Rattus norvegicus: one gene and its partner. The protein of the gene in region 2 binds, or shares a complex with, the protein of the main gene of each other region. Links are inferred from orthologs where the notes say so. Each region holds a gene or a part of one and is shown on either strand. Other genes may lie near its edges.

What was found. Proteins that work in one complex are often made in the same cells at the same time.
Region 1: Arpc1b (region 2) and Arpc5 share a complex: the UniProt entries of both Homo sapiens proteins name them as parts of the arp2/3 complex. The link is inferred for Rattus norvegicus from reciprocal best matches to the Homo sapiens genes ARPC1B and ARPC5.

Annotation. Positions count from the first base shown.
Region 1 is NC_086031.1:67,453,076-67,457,824, reverse strand, and holds the start of Arpc5 (actin-related protein 2/3 complex subunit 5), read right to left. Parts: upstream 3,447-4,749; 5' UTR 3,385-3,446; coding exon 3,242-3,384; intron 1,117-3,241; coding exon 1,044-1,116; intron 1-1,043. UniProt on the Homo sapiens protein: Component of the Arp2/3 complex, a multiprotein complex that mediates actin polymerization upon stimulation by nucleation-promoting factor (NPF).
Region 2 is NC_086030.1:14,606,189-14,611,142, forward strand, and holds the start of Arpc1b (actin-related protein 2/3 complex subunit 1B), read right to left. Parts: upstream 3,301-4,954; 5' UTR 3,233-3,300; exon of another isoform or gene 3,208-3,232; intron 1-3,207. UniProt on the Homo sapiens protein: Component of the Arp2/3 complex, a multiprotein complex that mediates actin polymerization upon stimulation by nucleation-promoting factor (NPF).

The DNA.
Region 1 (4,749 bases), on a different chromosome or scaffold from region 2:
AAAGCAAAGAAAAATTCCTATACAAAGTTCTGTGCCTTCAATAGTTATCATGCATTTACATATAATTCTTAAGTTCTTGGGTTCCTGAGATGCAGGCTTCAGACCACAGGGCTTTGTTACCTGTATAGCAAGAAACAGCTAAGCAGTTCCCTGAGAATCAGTGGAGGACTGATACAGAGATGTAAGCTACGAAGTTCTTCTGAGGGACTTGGCAATGCTTTATGGATCAAAAGCCTTTAAAAAAAAAAGTCAGTTTTGATCTAGCATTTATCTTCTGGGAATTTTATTGACATAAACAATTAAAATATAAAATTATTCATTTAGCAGGAAAAACTAGAAAACCTAATATACAGTAAAAGGGATCAGTTGCATATACGATGTCATATACTGGTGTACAGCAGTTAGAATGCCACGGAAATAATCTTATTGCTAAGGAAAGATCATGTACGTTACTATGCAGCTCAAGTGTAAGATTCTATTAATTTTTTAAAAGAACACAAACCCTGGTAGAAACCCCTCAGTGTGCAGCAATACCATATAAGGCAGTAGCTGTGACCCGAGGAAGTAGCACGGAAACCACCTTTTTATGCGCTCATGCCTTTGATTCTGATATTTCATATTTACATAATTAAGAAAAACTTAGGGAATTAAGAGGCAGCTGAGTGTTTTTTGAACCTGTTTGAATTCAACTCGAGCAGATTGCTCCTTAAGCACACACAGAGCTGGTGTCCCCACCCTTTCTGTTTACTGTGCTCCACGCGTCCTAACCACATGTCAGCCCTATTTTCCATGACCGTTCTACTTAGCAGGGGCTTCCTTTCGGGCTGGATGTGGTGGTGCATGCCTTTAATCCCAGTGGAGGCGGGAGATCTCTGCAAGTTTCAGGCCAGGTTATAGACTCAGGTCCAGTCTCAAAACAAAAGTCACACTGTAAACCCTCGTGTCAAGCACAGTAAATAGTTAAAATGGTCATTGAAGGTAGGTGTCAGAGGACTTTGATAATAGCGAAGCAGAAGGGATTAACGCTGTAGTTTACCACTCACCTTCACTGCCTGGCTCTTTGTGTTAATGGGGGGGTTTTTCAGAGCGGCCTGTAGGGCAGCGGTCATGTTTCCTGTAGTGAAGGTTAAGGGCATAACAGAAAGGGCAGCCCCGGGGTTGGGGATTTAGCTCAGTGGTAGAGCGCTTGCCTAGGAAGTGCAAGGCCCTGAGTTCGGTCCCCAGCTCCGAAAAAAAGAACCAAAAAAAAGGCAGCCCCACTTTATGGGACTGGTGGGTTAGACTTGACTTTGTGAACAGTAACAAAAACTACTATGGTCATTAACTGTATGGGTTTCTTTCCAATATGTCAACCAAAGGTTAAAATAATGAAATTAAAAGAATATGATTTTTTTTTTTTGGTTCTTTTTTTCGGAGCTGGGGACCGAACCCAGGGCCTTGCGCTTAAGAATATGATTTTTTTTAAAAGCAAAGATTGTTCTGACCTGTTCTGTCAACCAAAGAGATTACACTTTCCAGGGAAATACACACAATTGTCTAGACAGGTATTCAAGAAGTCTTAGAATATGCCTAAGAATTAAGCCATCGAATGATGCAGTTTACCAACAAAGTATTCCATCCTGTCTGCGTGATTCTTACTGGAAAACAAGCCTAAACTTGATACTGAAACTACACTGTGTATTAACTGAGGTGCTGGCAGATTACTCTGGCAATCAGAGTGGGACAGGCCGTGATAGCTGCATATTGATGAACAGGGCTCCAGATGATGTAATAACCCACACGACCTGTAGGTGGCAGCTTACTTTATTTCCTACAGGTTATTCAAACTGGGCTGGACCCTCCATACCTACTTCGTACTGAAAGCACTAATGAGTTAGCAAGCACGGGAAACGGAAGGCCAATCAGACTGTCAGAAAAGACAGTCATTTCCCTAAAAGGAGAACCAGAGTCACTTGTTCCTCCATCTGTAGTACCCAACCGGGGCTGCCGCTCCTAGTTATAACCAGAGACAGTACCTTTATATTTGGATAAGATGGATTGATGAAAAGGTAGACTGAATTAATAATGGATACAGTCATAATAATCACCAGAAATTACCTAAAATACATTAGTTTAATAAAATATCATATCCACCATAAAGATTTCTTTAAACGAAGAATAAACTCACCACTTCTGTGGAAAAGGTCTAATAAAAATTATCTACAGTTAGTGATAAACTACTGTCAAGCCTGCATAGTCTCTTAAAGAACACTTTTTAAAGAAAAAAATCCCAAGTATTTTAATAAATAAATTAGTAGCAACCAATGTGGAAGTAGTGGTAATGAAAGTTAAACGTATATGGCACATATATGTATATATTCGATGCTGTGGTTACCACTAAATATTTCTGCTTACTTCTTCATCATAATCTAGTAGAAAATCGATGAGGGAGATATGTATCTACAGACTTAATGAATACGAGTTTTCTAAAGCTCCAATTTGGGGTTTTGTGACATTTCTATTTTTCTAAGGGATCAATGCAAATGATTTTCAAGGTTATGAATATTCAGATATGCAAACCAAGGAACCAGGAACTGACAGCCATATTTTAACTAGCCTGGAAACAATTTCAGAAAAACGATTTTGATTTATAGAAGTGACTCATTCTCTGCTTTATTCACTGGGGTTCATCTTAAATTATTCCCAGGGATTCTCTACATGCATTCCCTATCCTTTTCCTAGTAGCCTTTTCTTAGCAGGTGAAAGGCTCAAAGCCTTACCTGGGAATTTTGGATTAGAAAACTCCCTTCAGCCTGTTCATAAATTATATGCAACCTTGCCCAAACCCTCTTCTTTTAATAAATAACACTGCTGATGGAAAAAGCTCATGGGCTGAATGTACGGAGGGCCTCAATTTGTTCCATCTCTCCTGGCTAGAATAAACTATGCCCGCTCCGCAAATCACACACACCCGACAGAATAGCAAGACTCCAGGCGGGACCCGTGTCCCCACCGGGCAGGAATTTTTGGAGCTCAGGTGCCCACTAGGGCGTCATCCGGTGCCCCCCCGAGAGGGTGCGGCCGCTTAGGACAGCGCACCTGAGGAATCGGGGCGCCGGCAAGTTCGCAGGCGCGGCCGCGGGGTGCAGGCGGCCTGATAGCCCCGGGACCTCCTGCCCTCCGTCCCCACCTAGAGCCGGGCACAGCTGGCCGCGTGTCCCCGTGTCCCCGCAACCCCAGGCCGCCGCGAGCGTAAGGATATTGCCGTAGGCATGAGTCCACCTCGCCCTCGTCGGGCCCGGCCTGGCCATCGCCGCCGTCCTCCTCGTCCACGAACTTGTTCTCATCATATTCGTCCACGTCCACCTTCCGGAAGCGGGCCGACGACACCGTGTTCTTCGACATCCCGGATCGCGATGCAACTCTGGCCTCCCCTCCGCGGTGCCTCTTCTTCAGCGAGCCTAGCCTTGTCCGACTCACTTCCCTCTTCCGCTCTGGGGCGTCGCCGGCAGCCGCTGCTTGCTCGCTTCTGGGCCTGCGCGCTAGCCGGCGCGGCTTCCTCCTCAGCTTCCAGCCATCCTTCAGCCCCCGCTCCGCCCCCGCGTCCCCCGGGAGCGCGCGTCGGCCAGGGAGCGCGCGGGACGCACGGCGCACGCGCGGGCCCGCTGCAGGAAAGGGGCGGGGTTGGAGGGAGAGAGGCGGGGGCGGCGGGCGGACAGAAAGCGGGCTGAGGCGGAGCGGGAGACTTGATTGGCCGCCGGGGAGCGTCACGTGACACCCGGGAGGTTCCCATAGAAACGCTTTTCTGCGGTCCAGCCTTGCGGGGGGTCTTGGGCTGGAGGCTATGGGCACTTGGGGCGCGTGGCCTGGAGTGCTGCCGCCGTCGGTGCCAGCCGCTTGTTGTTGGGGTCCGGTGTGAAGTGTGGGTGGTCGGACTTAAGCGTGGGGTGGGATGGACTGGCTGCAGAACCTAGTCCCCTGCAGTCAGCGGGAGAATGAGGCGGAGTGATGCCCAGCACGAAACTAGTGATCGGAGCCCTCCATTCGGACCGAGCGCCGCCGGGGGCTGCGTTCCAGAGCTGAGAGCCCCTTCCGGGGCTTGGGATCTTGGCACGCTGTCGGTGGGAGGTCCCCAAGGACGGAGTCGAAAGGTCACTTCTTACCTGTCAGTGCTGGGGGACAGCATCGCGGCCGGACCTGCAGAATCTCAACTCGGTATTCTCTCCATCTGGAGGGAGGGAAAAGATGCTTGGGCCGGGGCTGGGGACGGGTAGCGAAATTGGGGCAAACTTGTAGCATTTTCTAGAATCAGTCATCACATCTTAAAATAAGTAGTTATTTGGAGCAAGAATGCCAGAAGAGGGTGGGCGAGTTAGGCTTTTCAGCGCTGGCGCTGAGGGAAAATAGCGTGTGCAAGGATTAATAGAAACTGGACTTTCAAGGTTGTTATTTATTGTTTAAGGCACGCCAGATCAGCTTTTTTGCGATATTCCACATTCCCGTCAGAGGCACTAAGATTAAACAAATAATAGCTGTGCTCTGTGCATTATACTGTCGTACACGTATTTACAAAATAAAATTAATTCAGACACTTGGCTATGCTCTGCTTAGATGCAGATCTACCTGGTTTCACAAACAGCAGAAGGCTGGATGTCATCCTGTTGAGTTACCTCGTTTGTTGTGCAGTACTGAAAAAGAGCACTGGGCTTGGGATCAGAAAGCAGTGGCTGAGTTTCGACTTTTTTGCTCTCATAATCTGCGAGATTGAGG
Region 2 (4,954 bases):
TCTTCAGCATGATCCTACATTTTTTAGACAGGAATTCTTTGTTTTTTTAAGACTTACTTTATGTATATGAGACCTCTGTCTGCATGTACACCCACATGCCAGAAGAGGGCACTAGATCCCATTATAGATGGCTGGGAGCCACCAGGTGGTTGCCGAGAGATAAACTCAGGATCTTTGGAAGAGCAGCCAGTGCTCTTAACCACTGAGCCATCTGACAGCCCCATAGACACAAATTCCTAAACTGTGCCTGTTAGCAAGTGCCAGTAATCCCTTATACTCTAGAGACAGGAAAGGCAGGAAAGGCATGAATTTGAGGCCAGCTTCAGATACAAAATAAACTGAGGGGTTCTTGTTTTGCTTTCTTTCACACTATTGGGGATGGTGCCCAAAGCCTTCTACATTCTAGGCAGATGCTCTACCACTGAGCCACACCCCAGCAGCCCCTCACTGGGGGATTCTAGGCAGGGGCTCTACCACTGAGCCACACTCCAACCCTCCAGGAATACTTCCTGACCATTGCTGAATGATTTCCACTCTCCTGCTGTCTGTATTGAGGGATGATGAACCGAGAAACACTATTTTTTGGGGGGGGGGGGTGTGGAGCATGGGACGACATGACAGGGTTGACAACTCTCCAACAGGGTGTGCTGCTGCTCATCAAAGACACAGAAGGCTGAGGCTGGAGGATCATGAGTTTGAAGCCAGCTTGGGCTTCATACGGAGAACCTGTGATAAATTAGACAGACAGACAGACAGACAGACAGACAGACAGACAGACAGATAGGGGGAGCTTCCAGCCTAGCCTGGTGACCTGAGTTTGATCCCCAGGACCCACATAGTGAAACAAGGGACCAAGCAGCTCTTGTAACTTGCCCTCTCACTCCCCCCACCCCCACACACAAATAAATAAATGTAGTTATAAATAAATACTCCTCTAACTCTCCATCCGGGCGGGGCATCCTTTGCCCTGGCCCCAACCTGGGCCCAAATGGGGACAGCCTGTTGGTCCTTCCTTCTCAGTTGGCTTTTCTTGGCTCTGTTTCCTTGAATCCACATTTTGGCTGGATCTGAGACTTAGACCAGGCAGGAGTTCCCTGCAGCAAGAACCTTGGCTCCACAGGCAATCCAGGAAGTCCCCGCCCAGCTCAGGCGTTCAGTTGAGCAGAGCCAGCAGCCCTTTCTTTTTCTTCTTTATGGTGCTAAGCCTTACTCAACTTCCTGTTGTGGGTAGCCTGGGTGGTGTGATCGGCCCTCCAAGCCCCTAGTTCCTCCTCCTCCTCCCCTTCCTCCTCTGGGCTGCCCTTGAGTGAGTGAGGGGAATGTCAAATCCAGCAACACAGATGAAAATAAATTCCAAAATACTGTAAAACAGCAGTTTTGATAGTCAAAATTAAACTTCTCCAAAACCCAGAACACTCGGTGCTGGCAGGGCTGTGGAGAGAGCCTCATTTGTCCTGTGCCTTGGAAGGGCAGTGTGCTAGCTTGTGTAAGGACAGATAGAACATAGGGTGGAAAGAGGGCTCTGTGCAAGCGAACCTGGGACTCCAGCAGCTCACAACCCACAACCACCAAATAAATACTCTAGCTCCAGGGGGTATCATTTCCACCACCCTGGGGCTCGTGTGCTCGTGTGCTCGTGTGCGTGTGTGTGTGTGTGTGTGTGTGTGTGTGTGTGTGTGTGTGTGTGTGCGCGCCACCCAACACGTAAGAATAAATCTTTAAAAGGAGAAAATAACACGGATGAACTTAGTAACTTGAAAAAGCAAACTTTTAAATCCCTCTCTCTGGGATTCTTTACTACAGAAAATCCTTTTTTAATGGATGAGTGACAGATTGGAAAAACCCACATACCACTGGGGAGGCCGAGGGTGTGGCTCATTGGTAGAGCATTTGCCTAATAAATTCGAGGCCCAGGGACCAAGACAGAACAAAATTAACTCTGGTTAACGTTATTTGTTATTTAAAAGTTCCCCCGGTGTGTGTTCACCTTTAATCTCAGCATTGGGGAGGCAGAGCTCTAAGAGTTCAAGGCCAGCCTGGGAGGTGTGGGAAAGAAGGAGGGGAGGAAAGACCCTGTCTAGAAAACAAAACAACCCAGAGCAAAAGAGAATCACTAGGAATTTTCATTCACACAGAACTTTGCCTTGCACTTGTGTGTGTGTGTGAGCGCCATGGACGTCCCGGAATTCAAACTCAGACCCTCATGCTCCCCGGTCAGTGCTTTTATGATGCCCTGCTCGGTCTCCCAGCCCCGCACATTCTCTTACAGTCGAAGCCAACCTGGTAAATCTATTTTTTTTTAATTGTCCACGTGAAGAAGTTGAACTTCCCTCCAAGTCGCCCCGCAGGGCTTCGGACACCAACCCACCCTACCGCCACCACCACACAAGGCCAGGTTCACCCAAGTGCAGAAATGAGGTCTGCAGGCAGGCAGGCACACTGCCAAGTGTATTGGCCACATCTGGCCGCTAAGCCTCCGGATCTGGAAGGTCCCCATTTTTCCGGCAAGGTAAGTTGAGCTCTACACAGGCGAGGTAGCTCGCCTGCGTCAGCAGCCACAACAGCAGGAGCAGCTACACCGCCCCAGGCTGGAGCTGCCTCCCGGGAACAAGCTCCACGGCCAGCACCTGGGCTGGCTCCCAGTTCAGGATTCCTGCCCGCTCGCCGGCCCCACCAAACCTGCCCTGTCCAGGATGGCCTGGCTGGGTGCCCCTCGCGCCGCCCGGGTCTACTCGCCCAGACCGGGTGAGACCCAGGAACCTGGACCCCTGCTGAGTGGGCATGGTCACTGGGGGGGAGGGTGAGGCGGGGCAGGGTGCTAGCTCATTTCCCGGTCTCAACAACCCGGAAGGCTGCGAACCAAGGGGGAAGTGACTGGGCGTGGGGCCCTGCGCCCAAAGTAACGGGGCAACTCGGGACGCGAGGATAGGAAAGCGGGGCCAGGAAAGCGAAGAGGGGGAGCGAGGGCTGGGGCTGTGCCGCCTCGATGGCGTGGAGTGCGCGGGGACTCTCTGCGACCCTTCCCACCGCACCCCGCATCCCCAGAACGCGGTCCCCCATTATCTCCTCGCCAGCCCCACCCTCGCCGGGAGCCCCACCAGGCCCCCATGCACACGGCTCTCCACTCCTCTCTCATCCTCAGCCCCCTCACCGTCGAACATCGCTCGAGTTCCCTGACTTCTAGGTAGCCTCAGATCCCACACACACCTCGTGACCACCCCACGTCCCTCACCTCGGGTCTCCTCGGCCGCGGACTCTGGACAGTCGACGCGCCGAACCGGCTCTGAGACCCGCGCAGCGCCGCAGCCACTTCCTCGTGGGCGGGGGGCGGGGCCTTCGGGCACAGCCCCGCAGGGACCGGGGGCGGGACCCAGGCGGCTGTGGCCAGATCCCAGGGCCCGCCCACCCCTCCGGGTACCAAGCCGCCTGGACCTCAGTTAAGTCCAGCTCAGCTCAAGATTCGTCCAGAGAGCGCAGGCTGTTGCCCCTAACTACTCTCTGAATGGGGAAACTGAGGCCGGAAGAGAAGGGGAGAGCTGTCTGAGCAGCTAGAGGGCGGAAGCCCGAGATCGGGCCACCAACAATTCAAAGGTGTTTGAGGCCACACGCAGGCACCCTACAACTTAATGTCTCCTGCAGGCCCTGCCCCTCACACACTAGGTGCACCCCAGCCGCTGTTCCCCTGACTCTCAGTGTCCCAAAGATAGCAGAACCGCTGGTGTCCAGGAAGAAGGACACCGGCCACTCCAGGTGACTTCTTGCTTCTGTATTCCACACACTTCCCTCCGAGTTACTGAACAGCTTTGCAGCCACCGGAGTCAGGTGATGCTCCAGGGTCAAAGGTCATCCAGGTTATGTGCTTCTGAAGTTTTTTTTTTCTCTGCTTCCCACCTTAGGAGAGCTCTTTCCTAAACTCCCAGCAGTATCCTGTATCACTGATTCGGGCTTCGTTTACACCGAGACCTGAAGGCTTTCTCTAGGGTGACTCGTATGTTTAGAGGTGCCTGTGACATGGTGACACCTATCATCCCAGCACTGGGGAGGTAGAGGAAGAAAGATGACCTTCAAGTTCTTCTTTGGCTGTGTTAAGCCAGTTGAAGGCCAGCCTGGGTTACACGAAAGCCTGCCTCAAAAAAACTAAGAAATGGGCCAGCAAGATAGCTCAGATGGCAAAGGTGTTTGCCACCCAGCCTCAGGACCTGAACTGAATTCCCAGCAACTCACACAGTAGAATGAGAGAATAGACTCCTTCAGGTAGGTTATCTTCTTGCTTCCACACACATACCAGCCATAATGAATTAGAGTGTGTACACACACACACACACACACACACACACACACACACACACACTGTAGCTGTCTTCAGATACACCAAAAGAGGGCATCGGATCTCATTACAGATGGTTGTGAGCCGCCATATGGTTGCTGGGATTTGAACTCAGGACCTCTGGAGGAGAAGTCCGTGCTCTTAACCGCTGAGCCAGTGATTTTTTTTATGGTGTTGGGATTCAAACTCAGGGCCCTGCACACACACAGCAAGCACTCTACCACTGAGCTACATCCCCAGCCTTCGCTTAAGTCTCCTAAAGTTTGGGTTGGGGATTTGGCTCAGTGGTAAAGCGCTTGCCTAGCAAGCGCAAGGCCCTGGGTTCGGTCCCCGGCTCTGGGGGAAAAAAAAAAAAAAGAAAAGAAAAGTCTCCTTAGGTTTTGGGGGCTGGACTTGAACTCAGGCAGGCCTTGAGCTTGTGATTCTCCTGCCTCAGTAAGATTGTCATGAGTCATCCTCCTGCCACCGACACAGAGGAGCCTTGATCCTGCGTGCCCACTTTGCTGCTCCTGTAGGTCTGTATCTGTAGCCTTGGCTATGCCGGATTTAGCTTGGAAAATCTGCACCAGCAGCCTTCTTCCTGTGAGACAAACGCATCCCTGACTTGCAATCTGTCCCTGCTTGCTC